2 linked regions of the Canis lupus familiaris genome follow. The protein of the gene in region 1 purifies or fractionates together with the protein of each later gene. This does not show direct contact. Links are inferred from orthologs where the notes say so. Each region holds a gene or a part of one and is shown on either strand. Other genes may lie near its edges.

Region 1 (7,123 bases):
GAGATCATGGCTTTGAACCAAAAATAAAAGGTGGGTAAATGAGGTATTGGATAAAAAGTAAAAATATCAGCTGATATTCAAAGGACAAGGGGAAGCATTTCAGAAAAAAAGAGATTTTTTTTTCATTCAAAAATTCCAGAGCTGGCAAATGGCCAACAGTGTCACTTACCAAATTCTAGGCAAGTGGGGAACAAGAAGGCATGGCTCACATACACGGGGAGCTCAAGAGGGCATCTTTCAGGTATTTACACCCAGAGACAAATGATATCATTCAAGGATCTCTCTCTCTCTCTCTCTCTCTCTCTCTCTCTCCTCCGTGATTCTCATGATCTCCGCTCCTCTGTGAGTGGCAACCTAATTCTTTTCTCCTACAAGCACCCCTAAGCCAGCATCTTTAAACCTTAGCAATGCAGATACAAAATCATATCTCTTAACACTCATATCAGATATAATAAACGACTCTAAAAATGTTTTGCTGTTAAAAAAAATGCTAACTGTCATCTGAGGTTTCAGCGAGCAGTAATCTTTTTGCTGGTGGAAGATCTTGCCTCCGTGTTGGGGGTTGTTGACGGATCAGGATGGTGGTTACTGAAGGGAGTGGAGGTGCAAGTTCTTAAAATAAGACCACAATAAATTTCGCCACGTTGAGTGATACTTCCTTTCAGGAATGGTTTCTCTTTAATAGCATTTTACTCACGGTAGAACTTCTTTCAAAGTTGGAGTCGATCCTCTTAATCCCTGCCGCTGTTTTATCATTTTTGTTTACACCATATTCTAAACACTTTATTGTCATTTCGACAATCTTCACAGCATCCTCACCAGGAGTAGAATCCATCTCAAAAAAAGAAAAAAAAAAAGCATTGCCTCTGCTCATGCATAAGAAGCAACCCCTCATTCATTAACATTTCATCAAGAGATTGTAGCAATTCGGTCCCATTTTCAAGCTCCACTTCTGATTCTGGTTCTCTCGCTATTTCCACCAAATCTGCAGTCACTTCTTGAAGCCCCCAGAGACATCCATGAGGGCTGGCATCAGCTTCTTTCAATTCCTGCTAATGTTGATATTTTGACCTCTTTTCATGAACCGTGGATGTTCTGAACAGCATCAAGTGTGATGAACCCTTTCCAGAAGATTTTCAATTGACTTTGCCCAGATCCGTCAGCCGAGTCATAATCAATGGCAGCCACGGCCTCACAAAAACGGATTTGTCAAATAATAAGACTAGAAAGTCAAAGTGATACCTTGCTCCATGAACCGCAGAGAGGGTGTTGTGTCAACAGGCATGACAGCAACACTGATCTCATTGTCCGTCTCCATCAGAGCCCTTGGGTGGCCAGGCGCATGGTCAAGGAGCATCAATATTTTGAAAACAATCTTTTTTCTGAGGAGCAGATCTCGACAGCAGACTTAAGACCTTCTGTAAACCATGTTGCAGACAGACATGCTGTCATCCAGGCTTTGTTGTGTCATTTCTAGAGCCAAGGCTCTAGTAGATTTGGCATCATTCTCAAAGGCTCTGGGATTTTCAGAATGGTCAACGAGCACTGGCCTCAGCTCATAGTCACCAGCCGCGTTAGGCCCTAGCAAGAGAGGCAGCCTGTCCTCTGAAGCTTGGAAGCCAGGCACTGACCTCTCCTCTCTCGCCAGGAAAGCCCTAGATACCTCCTCTTCCACTATAAGACTGCTGTGTTCACACTGCAAACCGTTGGTTAGCTTGGCCAACTTGGGTGATTCCCTCAGCTAGATCTTCGGAGGACGTGCTGCTTCATCTTGCACTTCCATGTTACGGACACGGCTTCTTTCTCCTCGCCTCGCAAACCAACCCCTGCTAGCTCCAGACTGTGCTCCCGCAGCTCCCCTCTCTCAGCCTTCACTGAATCCAGAGAGCTCAGGCCTCGCTCTGGACTAGAAACTTCGGCTTAAGGGGATGTTGTGGCTGCTTCGGTGTTCTGACCAGACCTCTCAGACTTGCTCCACATCTGTAATCAGGCCATTTAGCTTTCTTCTCCTCCTGTGTTCACTGGAGAAGCACTTCTAATTTCTTTTAGGAATGTTTCCTTTGCCTTCACAACTTGGCTAACTATTTGGTGCCAGAGGCCTAGGCCTTCCCCCGTCTCCACGTTGGACGTGTGTCCTCACTGAGCTTCATCACCGCTAGGTTTTGATTTAAAGCAATGGATGTGTGATTCTTCCCTTCACCTGAACCCTTACAGGCCATTGCCGGGTTATTCACTGGCCTAATGTCAATACTGAGGGAGAGAGCGGCCGTCGGAGGAGCAATCAGCACACACGCGGTACCTACCGATTAAGTTCACCACCTTATATGGGTGCGGCTCATGGAGCCCCCAAACAATTGTAATAGTAGCATCAAAGATCACGGATCAAAGATCACCATATAAATATGATAGTGAAAAAGTTTGGAATATTGCAAGAATTGCCAAAATGGCACGCAGCAAGGAAATGCTGGAAAAACAGCACCGATAGACTTGCGTGACCCAGGGTTGCCTCAACTCTTTAATTTGGAAAAAAAAAACACCATGTCTGCAACGCGGCACAAAGAGGAGTGCAGCAAAACGAGGTGCGCCTGTAATGTTGGGGCGGCCCCACACTGTGAATGCAAGTAATGCCACTGAATCGAGCAGTTAAAACAGTAACTTTTAGGGCCACCCGGGTGGCTCGGTGGTTGAGCATCCGTCTTTGGCCCAGGGTGTGATCCCGGGGTCCTGGGATGGGGTCCCATGTCGGGCTCCCTGCATGGAGCCTGCTTCTCCCTCTGCCTGTGTCTCTGCCTCTCTCTCTCTCTGTGTCTCTCACGAATGAATAAATAAAAATCTTTTTACAAAATCAAGCCCGCAGTGTGCAGGAAGAGGCGTGCGCCACTTCTGATAGGATGAGGAAGTTTTCGTAAGAGCACTTCCAGTCTGTGACAGGCGGTGCAGGCAGCCCGGGCCAGCCGAGCCCCCGCAGCAGCCTGGGCGGCTGACAGCATGCTCTGGGTGCTCCTGCTGCTCCCACTGCTCCTCCTCCTCCGGCCAGGTAAACGCCGCCGCTGCCTCGCAGCCACCGAGGGCCTCCGGGCTTTGCGCAGCTTGCTCCATCTAAGTCACTTGGGCATACCGTCTGTCTGTCTGTCTGTCTGTCTGTCTCTGCCGAGGGATGGAGGGACCGGGTGGGCCTGAGAAAGTGCCACCTCCTGTCGGTTAGCACAAGACGCTCCCAAGCTCCCTCAGGGATCACGGCTCCACTCGTGTCCGCGTCCACGGGCGGCTCTGCGGGCACAGGGAGGGGAGCTTTTCCTGAGAGCAGACTACCTGGGCCTGGGGTCTGGGGCCAGCGTGCTGTGATGCAGGAGAGTGGCCCCTCCTGCCACTTGGCTCCCGTCTTGCTCTGTAACCTCAGGCAGGTGGCTTATTCTTCTTGAACCTCACGAACCTCAGCGAAAATACTGAACATCCAGGGTTCGGTGGAACCGAAACTTCTGGGCACAGTTCAAACACCAGAAATAGATCTATTAGTTTTTGTTTACTTTGAAAAAAGATCTCTCCCTTCCTCTGATGTAAATCAGGGTCTAGCCAGTCCAGCAGGACTCTCTGTGACCCAGAGAGAGGGGTCCTGGTTCCCCGCAGTCCGTCACATGGAAAGCACGAAGGATGTCGTGCTTGGGGAACCACAGGTGGCTACTGGAGCCAGAGTATAGGATTCAGGGACAGATGGCCCAGGAGACAAGACAGGAAAGCTAGGCCAGAACTAGCTCAGGGTAGCGGATAAAAATAGCTGTCTTCTTTGAGGGTGTGTTCTGTTCCGGGCCCTGGGCCAGGTGCTGCGCACTCTTTACATACATGAGCCTCAGCACAGACCTCTGCGTTTGCACTGTATTGACCCCATTTTAAATGAGGCGCCAAGAGGATTTCAATAACTTGCCCAAATTGCATTAGCCAGCAGGTGGCAAGCTCTTGCAACAGTTCTGAGAAACAGTGACCGCTGACCAAGCACAGCAGTAGCAGAAGACAAAACACAGAAGTGAGAGAGTCACCATAGATGTAGAATGAACTAGATTGACTGGCAACAGCAGTGAGGGGAAAGCATTAATTTTCTAGTTTCTGGGGACACTAGATCAGAGCAGGTGAAAAGTCCTGACCTTGCGGAGTTCACATTGAGGCAGGGAAACAAGATGAATAAGTGAAATGGTCTGTTGCACAAGGATAGGTGACAGATGAGCAGAGCAGGGAAAGAGGGGGTGGAAAGGGCAGGGAACTTTCGGACAGAGTGGCCCAAGGTGACAAAGTTGGGTGACAAAGGGGAGCAGAGGAGGGAGCAGCCATGGAGATGGTGAGCTCAGTTTGGGACCTACTAATTTTAAGACATCAGTGTGCTACCCAGGAGATTTCCGGAGAGCTCCTGGAGATTGAGGACTGCAGGCCGCAGGCTTGGAAGTCCTGGCGCCAACTAATGAACAAAGCCTAGGAGAAAGTGCAAGGAGGACAGAGCCAGGGGCTATAGCGTAACCGCAGAAGGAGGGGGGATTTGTTCTATACTCAAGAGCCGCTCCCTGGCCTGGGGGCGAAGCCCCACATCTTTGCTTCCCTTTTACCTCCGGGCAAAATTCATTTTACCACCATGAAATGAAATATTCAGAATGTCCTCAGGTTACAAATCCCCTGCTCCTCCCCATTTCCATTGCTAGCTGTCACAGAGATCCTGTGAAATAGACACTGTCATTCCCACTTCGGGGAAAGAGGAAAGAAGCCATGTGACACTTCAGTAACTTACTTCGTGTCACACAACTATGGGTTGGGGTGGCACCGCAGGCCGCGGTGCAGAAAAGGAGACGTTTGTGAATGCACTTGCAGTGTTCTGAGCGCAGGATGGGGGCAATGAGTGCCGAGGTTGGAAATCAGGGAGCCTGGCTCCGGGGGTCTGTGCTCATAATCACCCGCTATGCTACTTATTATTACATAAATGGATATATATAACCACACACACATACATATATGTATGTATAAATGTGTGTATATATGTGTGTCTGTGTGTGTATATATATATTTTATATATATTTATAAATATATATATATAAAACTACAAAATGTGTATATATAACTACAAAATGTGTGGCGAGGAAGAAAATCGGCAGGGTACCCTGAAACAAAAAAAAAAAGCAAGGGGATCTGCTTTGAGTGGGGTCAGGTGAGTGCAAAGGTCCTCTGCTGGGAAGAGTTTGAGGAAGGGAAAGAGATCTGCCGTGGCAAGGATATGGCACAAATCAAATCAATTTTGAAAAACAGTATGAAGGAAGATGATTCGTGCCATCCTACCATCTTCCCAGTTGGTCAGACACCATAACTTGCTATTTTTTTTAAAAATTAACTGAGAAGATGAACCATGTTGAGAAATAATCCCAAGAGGTATAACTGAAATCAGGTATCATCATGCCCTGGAGAAAATGAATCGCATTTGTTTCTCCATTGTATCCTCTCTAGATGGGAACTTATCAAACACTAATATGCATTCAAATTACTAGGGAATCTTATGATACTGATTCTAAATGCGGACAAACATTCTGCATTTATTTTTTCAAGATTTTATTTATTCATGAGGGACATGGAGAGAGAGGCAGAGACACAGGCAGAGGGGGGAAGCAGGCTCCCTGCGGGGAACCCTACGTGGGACTCCATCCCGGTACCTGGGGATCATGCCCTGAGCTCAACCACTGAGCCACCCAAGTGCCCCGCATTCTGCGTTTATAATAAGCTCCCTGGTAACGCCAGTGTTGCTCCGTGAACCACACCTTGAGTAGCAAGGTTCTAGATTTCATGGGATTTTAGTCATTTTGGGGTTGAAGGAAGGGAGAAATAAGAACTAATTCTTTGAGTACGTTGGCCAGAAGCAGATGGGGGTATCCTGATGTTGAGGAGAGAAGTGGTTGCAAGTGTAGGCAGAGCCCATACGGGGGAGCTAGCCATGTGATTCTGAGGTCCTGAGTTAAAAATTGGTTTCTGCGGAGACATTGAGACATCGTATCCAATGGCTCCCTTCCCCCGAGCAGTGTCGGCTGCCTCTCTTACCAACCATCCACACCTTCCAAGGTTTACAGTTGCTCCTTATTGTTCACTGCGGCAGGGAGTTGTTTTGCATTTTGACATTATCCTCAAGGACAACTGTGCCTTTCCACCTCTCAGAGTCTGAGGTCTGTCCCCATGTGTCCTCCAGCCTCCCACCCCCAAGGTGGGAATGGAGACCCCTCAGCTGGGTCTCTCCATCTACAGGCAGACTTTCTTTCTTTCATCAAGGTGAAATTCACAAAACTTAAAATAATAACTTTTAAGTATATAATTCAGCGGCACTTAGTACATTCACAATGTTGTGCAACCACCGCTTTTATCGTCGCAAAACAGTTTATCACCCCGAAAGGAGACTCTATGTCTGTGAAGCAGGAATTTCCAATTTTGCCCTTCCCCTGACAACCCGCTGCCCCCTGGCAAGTACTAACTGGATTTTGTTCTGTGGGTTGACCTATTCTGGACATTTCATGTCAGTGAAATGGTACAACATGTGACCTTTGTGTCTGACTTCCTTCACTTAGTATAATGTTTTCAAGGTTCATTCATATTGTGTCACGTATCAGCACTTCACTTCTTACTGTTCCATAATATTCCATTGTATATATGTACCACGTTTGATTTATCCACTCATCTATATAGATGAACACTTGGGTTATTTGTACCTTCTGGTCTTGTAAATGGTGCTGCGATGAAGATTTGTGTGCAAGTATTTGAGTACCTGTTTTCAATTCCAATCCATTCTGGACCACATGATAATTCTATCATGAATCTTTTGGGGAGTCACTAAATAGTTTTCTACAGAGGCTGGTCCAGCTTCCATTCTGACCAGCAAGGTAGGAGGGTTCTAATTTTTCCAGCACTTACCTTATTAATAATTATTTATTTTATTAATTCTTACCGGTATTTCCTTTCCGATGATGATGATGGTTATCATTATCCTGGAGTTGGTATTTAAAATGTTTCTTTTCCTGTGCCAGCAGTTCACTATTTCACTTCTGAAAGATAGAATTCATAATTCGGCAGAAGCTTCTAGGAGTTTCCTGGGTCTAGGAGGTCTCAATGG
Region 2 (7,125 bases), on another chromosome or scaffold:
CCCGTGGCTCAAAAAGATTGAGAAACTCTCATAAAAGACAATGAATCCTTGTGTCTTTCCCCTGTAGCACAGTCTGGCAATCACACTCTAAGACTTGAGGCCCCAGTGTGCCCATCAAAAGACATGCTAGGAGACTCCCAGTTTGCCTACTACCATCTGCTACTTCATAAGGTTTGGGTGGAGAACTCAGAGTCATAAAAACTGCATTTATGCAAGATTCACTTTGGGTAAAAACTTAAATGTTCGAGAAATCCCCACTCTGCCTAAGTTAATTCCTTATGTGGTCAAGCCTACATAAGCAAAAGGTTATCCTTTTCTTTTCTTTTTTTAAAGATTTTATTTATTTATTCATGAGAGACACAGAGAGGCATAGACATAGGCAGAGGGAGAAGCAGCTCCTTGTGGGGACCCCAATGCAGGGCTCGTTCCCCGATCCCAGGATCACAACCTGAGTCAAAGGCAGATGCTCAACCACTGAGCCACCCAGGCATCCTGGTAGTCCTTTTCTTTTGCATATTTTTCCAATAGTGATCTTCAGCAGAAGGTAGGCACACATTACAATCCTTATTTAGTAGGTATGAGGACCAAGACCCAGGGAAGTTGAATGACTTCCCCAGAGCCCACACCCTGGCCTGATTATCAGTCTAAAGCTCTTTGCAGGAATGCCTGGGTGGCTTGGCATTGAGCATCTGCCTTTGGCTCAGGGTATAATTCCGGAATCTGGGATAGAGCCCCGCATCGGGCTCCCCACAAGGAGCTGCTTCTCCCTCTGCCTATGTCTCTGTCTCTCTCTCATGAATAAATAAATAAAATCTTTAAAATAAATAAATAAATAAACAAATAAATAAATAAAATCTTTTAAAAAATAAAATAAGCTCTTTGCAGTGAAGAAGAGTATTTGCCTTGGCAATTCATTGGTTAGTTCAAAAATATTTATTGAATGCCTACCATGTACCTCGTAACGTGCCTCATCACGGCTATTATGTGCTAGCCTGTGTTCCTTGTACAGGAGACGATGTCCCTGCCTTCACTGAGTTTCAATTTTGCTGAGAAACACAGCAATACATAAGTAAACAATCAAATATCAGACAGTTTAGAGCTCCTTGAAGAAAAATAAAGTCATAGAGTATAACAGGCACAGGGAGAAGGTACTTAATTTAGATAGGGTGGTCAAGGAAGTGGTCTCTGAGGCAAGAGGCAAAAGTAATAAAGTCTAAAGATGCTGGGAAGAGAGCACAGCTGGCAGGTTTGAGAAACAACAAAGGGGCCAGCATGACTGAGTCTTTAGGTGCATCTTGCCATACTGTCTCATCTTACTCCCCTGCTCAGGCTTCCTTTTTTTGCCTCTAGGCTAAGGGGCTGATTAGCCCCTTTGTCAGCCTCTCTAAAGAAGCCCCTTTCACTTGCCCACTCCTTCCACCACATTCTTTTGAATGAAAAGAGCCCAAGAATACTAGGCGGCTTTCACTGACCTTCCCAAGTTTCCACTTGGGAAAAAAATAACGTAAGCAAATCATAAAGATCTGAGCCCAAGACTAGTATCAAAAAGACAATAAGTAACAAGTGTCAGCAAGGATGTGGAGAAAAGGGAACCCTCTTGCACTTTTGGTAGGACTGTAAATTGGTGCAACAACTATGGAAAACAGTGTGGAGGGATCCCTGGATAGCTCAGTGGTTTAGAGCCTGCCTTCGGCTCAGGGCATGATCCTGGAGTCCCGGGATCGAGTCCCTACATCAGGCTCTCTGCATGGAGCCTGCTTCTCCCTCTGCCTGTGTCTCTGTCTCTCTCTTTGTCTGTGTCTCTCATGAATAAATAAAGTCTTTTAAAAAAAAAACAATGTGGAGGTTCCTTAAAAAAGTTGGAATAGAAATACCATGATCCAGTAATTCTACTACTGGGCATTGACACCAAGAAAACAAAAACACTAACTCAAAAAAATACATGCACCCTATGTTTATTGCACTATTATTTACAATAGCCAAGATATGGAAGCAATCCAAGTGTCCGTCAACAGATGAATGGAGGGATCCCTGGGTGGCTCAGTGGTTTAGGGCCTGCCTTCAGCTCAGGATGTGATCCTGGAGTCCTGGGATCAAGTCCCGCATCAGGCTCCCTGCAAGGAGCCTACTTCTCCCTCTGCCTGTGTTTCTGCCTCCCTCTCTCTGTGTCTCTCATGAATAAATAAATAAAAATCTTTAAAAACAAAAACAAAAAAACACAAGTTATTTTTAAAAAACAGATGAATGGATAAAGAAGAGGTGGTATAATATATAGAAAGGAATATTACTCAGCCATAAAAATGAAATCCTGCCATTTGCAATGACATGGGTGAAGCTAGAGACTAGTGAAATAAGTCAGTCAGAGAAAGACAAATACCATATGATATCATATCTTATGATTTCACTTACATGCAGAATCTAAAAAAGAAAATAAACAAACATACTCTTAAATACAGAGAGAGAACAAACTGGTGGTTGCCAGAGGGGAGAGGGATGGTGAGGGGATGGGCAAAATAGGTGAAGGGAATTAAGAGGTCCAAATTTCTAGTACCTTCTCACACTTCAATTAAAACAAGCTCAGCAATTTAGAAGCTTGGTTATTGACACAGGTTCAATCTGTACCCCCGCCGCCCCACCTCACCCCACTCCTGGTTATAAAATAAATAAGTCACAAAGATGAAGGGTATAACCTAGGGGATATAATCAACAACACTGTAATAACTTTGTATGGTGACAAATGGTGACTACACTTGCCGTGGTGAGCATTTTGTAGTGTGTAGAACTGTCAAATCACTATGCTGTACACTGGAAACTAATATAACGCTGTATGACAACTGTACTGCAAAAGGAAAAAAAAGATCCGAGCCCAAGAGAGTCAAGTGCTTCCACATGTTCTCTTGAAGTCTTTATAATAAATGTACTTAGCAAGGCCTGAGAGTTGCCACAAACTTGGCCTGACCATGTTAAAAAAATAAATAAACAAAATAAACGAAAATCATCTAATAACAGCCTCAGCATGATCTTTTTTCACGGACCCAAAAAGTACTTCACAATCTTGCAGTGTATCATTAGGTATCAAAATTACTACCAAGCATTTTCCTTCATTTTGTTTCTGACTAGAACCGACTACACAGCACAGGTGTTTCACATGTGACACAAAGTGATCAAGCTAGGTCCTTCCTTGGAAATGTGCCATGAGTACTGAAAGAACTCAACTGGAGAAAAATACAATAATAATGATAATAGCTTACATTTACTGGACATTTATGATGTGTCAAGTCCAGTGTTAAATTCTTTACCTGCATTTGATCCTCGCCATCCTATGAGGTAGGTCGTATTATTATACTCATTTTATGGACAAGAAAACTGAAGGACTGAGAGTTCAACTTGCCAAGGTCACAAGCCTGCCATCAGACTAGCACAGGATTAGGTCTCAGATCTCCCTGACTCGGAGCCCTTGAGGCAAAGATGAAGGTACATCTGATTTAAAATGGGTGTTAGACTAAGGCATGCCTAGGCAAGCGGCAAAGCTGAATCATAACAAGGGTGTTTTCCCTCCATGCCCTTTACCACTACTGTCAGTCCTAGCTTTTTATCAAGAAGGGTCCTACCTCTGAAACTCTCTGCCCCCACACACAGCTTCTCTCAAAGAAGCGAAGTAAGCAGATGCCAAGAGGCAGTTTCACTTACAAATACCCCGATTGGCACCCCGACCTAACCAGAATTGCACTCCTAAAGTCACGGATTCCGTTTCTCAGTCTTCTTCCTCTCCCAGAATGTGATGGTTTCCTTTGGGAGGACACCTCCAATTCCATTTAAAGGGATCTGGAGAGAGGTCTTTCCTTTCCTCAGGAGCTGGTGGCCCCAGTTTTGGCCAGTCCACCATGCCAAGGCTCCACCTAGCTGGCCTCGACTAAAGGTCAAAACTGGAAGTTGGGAGCCTGGATCTTTCTCAGAGCAAAGGTAGATTCTAGGCTGCGTTTCCCCACCCCAAAGGGCATTCTCTGCAGCTGCCACAAAAGACCCAGGGAGGCCCTTCTGGAGAGTGAAGGCCCTGGGAGTGAAAGCCCCATGAGGGGCCTCAAAGCACGACCCCCTAAGCTGGACCGTGGGAAGGCCTTGGCGCCGTCACATGAGCCGTGGAGGAGGCCTCAACGCCTCACATGAGCCTGCACCCCCGGCCGGTGCCCTCATGGGGCCTGGAGCCTGCGGCCACCGCGACATACTCACAGCACACACAGGCAGTACACGCCAGGGACGCTCTCGCTGTCTCTCAGCAAATAGCTGCCATCCAGCCCCGTGGCAAGCAGGAGCTTCTCCCCGGTCTCCCGGCTGATTTTGCCATGGTACACGGCTACCGCGTCCATGGCCTGGTGGACTCTTGGGCCGCTGAGGCGTGGGACAGTGGAGGGCAGATGCCACTGCTGCTGCAACCGGGCCCGGAGTCAGCCACCTGACTCCCAGTTCAGCCAGATGTGCAGAAAAAGAGAGAGGAGCACCCGAACCCGAACAACAGGATGTTGTCTCTCTGCCTTAAAACCTCCTTCTCACACTTCAATTAAAACCAGCTCAGCAATTTAGAAGCTTGGTTATTGCCACAAGGTTCAATCCCCCTCCCCGCCCTACCCTACCCCACCCTACACACAGGGTTCGGAAGGAGAAGGGAGGTCAATTGGAAGAATGTCCTGGCAAGATATGGACTGTACTACCAGGGCAGACTCTGGCACACAGACAGGAATGCTTGCTAATGCTTCCACTCTTACAGTTTTCCCAGGGGCCACCAGAGATGACTTAGCTTAACTAAGTTCCCAAAAGGGTTGATGATAGAGGCAAGGTGTACATGGCCTTCTTGTGGGGCAGAAACATGCTGACAGAGAATGAAAGAACCTAAAGCTCTGAGACCAAAACACAGAAACTACCAGAACTATCAGTGTGCAGTCATTCCTGAGCACAGCCAGAGGCTCCTACACAATCAGAAGTAGTCAGTGAAAAACCAACATGGGGCAAGTCTCCTTTTCTACTCTTCCTAGTCATCTTGAGCAATCTTGATCCTGAGTAAACACTGATTTTTCCTACTTTCTTGGCCAAGATCCCAGAGTGCTGATTGACGAACAAAAATCAGTCTATGTGTGAAGACGTTCCATTTTTTTTTTATTTGATGAGCTTTCGATGAGAGAAAGCATCATTTCATTGGTGCTTTGTCTTTTTTTTTTTTTAAATTTTTATTTATTTATGATAGTCACACACAGAGAGAGAGAGAGAGGCAGAGACATAGGCAGAGGGAGAAGCAGGCTCCGTGCACCGGGAGCCCGATGTGGGATTCGATCCAGGGTCTCCCGGATCGCCCGCCCTGGGCCAAAGGCAGGCGCCAAACCGCTGCACCACCCAGGGATCCCGGTGCTTTGTCTTTATGTGGACTTGTTTATGCCCTTTGATGTACAGGACCTACCTTTCAGCATTTGGGGCATAAAAGTTGCTTTAAATCACATCACAAGCGTCAATAATTTTATCCTCTGTCGTTAATAGAGTGTTTTTCCTCCAGTTGATGCTAAACTATCATTAATTTTTTAAAGCCTTTCAATTTTTATTTTCTTCTCTGAAATAAAACATTGCTTCCATTTTAAAATGTGCTGTTAAGTAATATTTCCCCAAAACTTCCCCCTTTTTCACTGGAATAAGACTTTAATGCTTGAAGCTGGATGGTCTTCTACATTTTTCTTTTCAATTATGTAAAATACTTGTAAAACTGAAATTTAAATAACTGAAGCCAGGTGTCTGTTGCATCTCTTCCACAACTTCAACACCTAGTTCCTTGAAGTCATGGTGAGGCTGGGAGCTCAAGACTGGGAGAACAATTTCTAAATCATCACATGCCCTACTAATGGATCGGGTGCACAGAGCTACCTTGCACCACAGCCAGATATTTGTTTGCCACACACTAGGGTTGAGAACAATCTTCTAAAATTTCCATGGCAGCTAGTAGTGACTCACCTTTTTTTCTTTTTTTTTTTAGTAAACTCTACCCCCGACGTGGGGCTCAAACTCATGACCTGAGGTCAAGAGTCACATGCTCTACTGACTGAGCCCACCAGGCTCCCCATGTCTCTCCTTCTTGATTGAAGCATGCCCAGCCCTAGAATCTATCAACCTTAGTAGATGAAGTGTAAACATAAGCCTCTTACAACACCAAGGCTAAACAAAGAAAATAAAACAGCATTCAAGATGATATTTGGGGGTCGCTCTGGGGAATTGAGCCAGGATTGTCTCATCATCTTTCTACCTCACTTGTTTATGGCCAAGTCCACCTTTCACCCTTCATGCTTTGGGTCAAGGAAGAAATCGTTCTAATAAGTGAACGCATATGTCAACGTTAAGGTCTTGAGAAGTCAGTCCGCCCTGAGCTCTCAATATTTTGAGCTGGCAGATGATTAGCCCCGAGAAGTTCATCACAATGGTGGAATTTCAGACATGAAAGAGGAAGATGGGGAAGGGGATCCAGTTCCTCCTTCAGTCCATAGGGACAACAGCCCACCTGCAAGGTGAACGTGAGAACATTGTGTCACATGGGTAAAAAGGAAACCTAAGTTTTGATTGGTTTTGTTGGGTTTTTTTGTTTGTTTGTTTGTTTTGTTTTGTTTTGTCTCTGAACAACCCTGAACAAATTACTCCCAAACTTAGGAACAGAGCAACCTGGATCTGACAGCGAAAGTGTACCATGCATTCTTCTTTTCGTTCTGTTTGGTTTTGTGTTGCTAAAATAGCATACCTGTCAAAGCAGCCAGGTACAAGGGAGTTCAGCACAACTAAACTCGTATAAAAAAAGAACAGATAAATTATAAGGTAATAGTCCAACTCTCACATCTAGCACATCATTGTCATCTCACAAGCAAGCTGACATCTGGGCCGGCCCACTATTGCAGTGTTGATGAAAAATACCAACATCTTCACCCTAGTGCAACACCAGTACTAAACCTGACTTTTTAGCAAATTCAGAACTTGAAGGGTAGAGAAACAGGGTTTGAAATGGCTCTCTTACTCTGGGAAACGAACAAGGGGTGGTGGAAAGGGAGGTGGGCGGGGGGTTGGGGTAACTGGGTGATGGGCACTGAGGGGAGCACTTGATGG

What was found. The genes of interacting proteins can lie anywhere in the genome.
Region 2: the proteins of SLAMF6 (region 1) and SH2D1A purify together in Homo sapiens (co-immunoprecipitation; 5 studies listed by BioGRID and IntAct, with this or other methods). This does not show direct contact. The link is inferred for Canis lupus familiaris from reciprocal best matches to the Homo sapiens genes SLAMF6 and SH2D1A.

Annotation. Positions count from the first base shown.
Region 1 is NC_049259.1:22,567,345-22,574,467, forward strand, and holds the start of SLAMF6 (SLAM family member 6), read left to right. Parts: upstream 1-2,899; 5' UTR 2,900-2,988; coding exon 2,989-3,037; intron 3,038-7,123. UniProt on the Homo sapiens protein: Self-ligand receptor of the signaling lymphocytic activation molecule (SLAM) family.
Region 2 is NC_049260.1:96,499,171-96,506,295, reverse strand, and holds the start of SH2D1A (SH2 domain-containing protein 1A), read right to left. Parts: upstream 4,565-7,125; 5' UTR 4,368-4,564; coding exon 4,231-4,367; intron 1-4,230.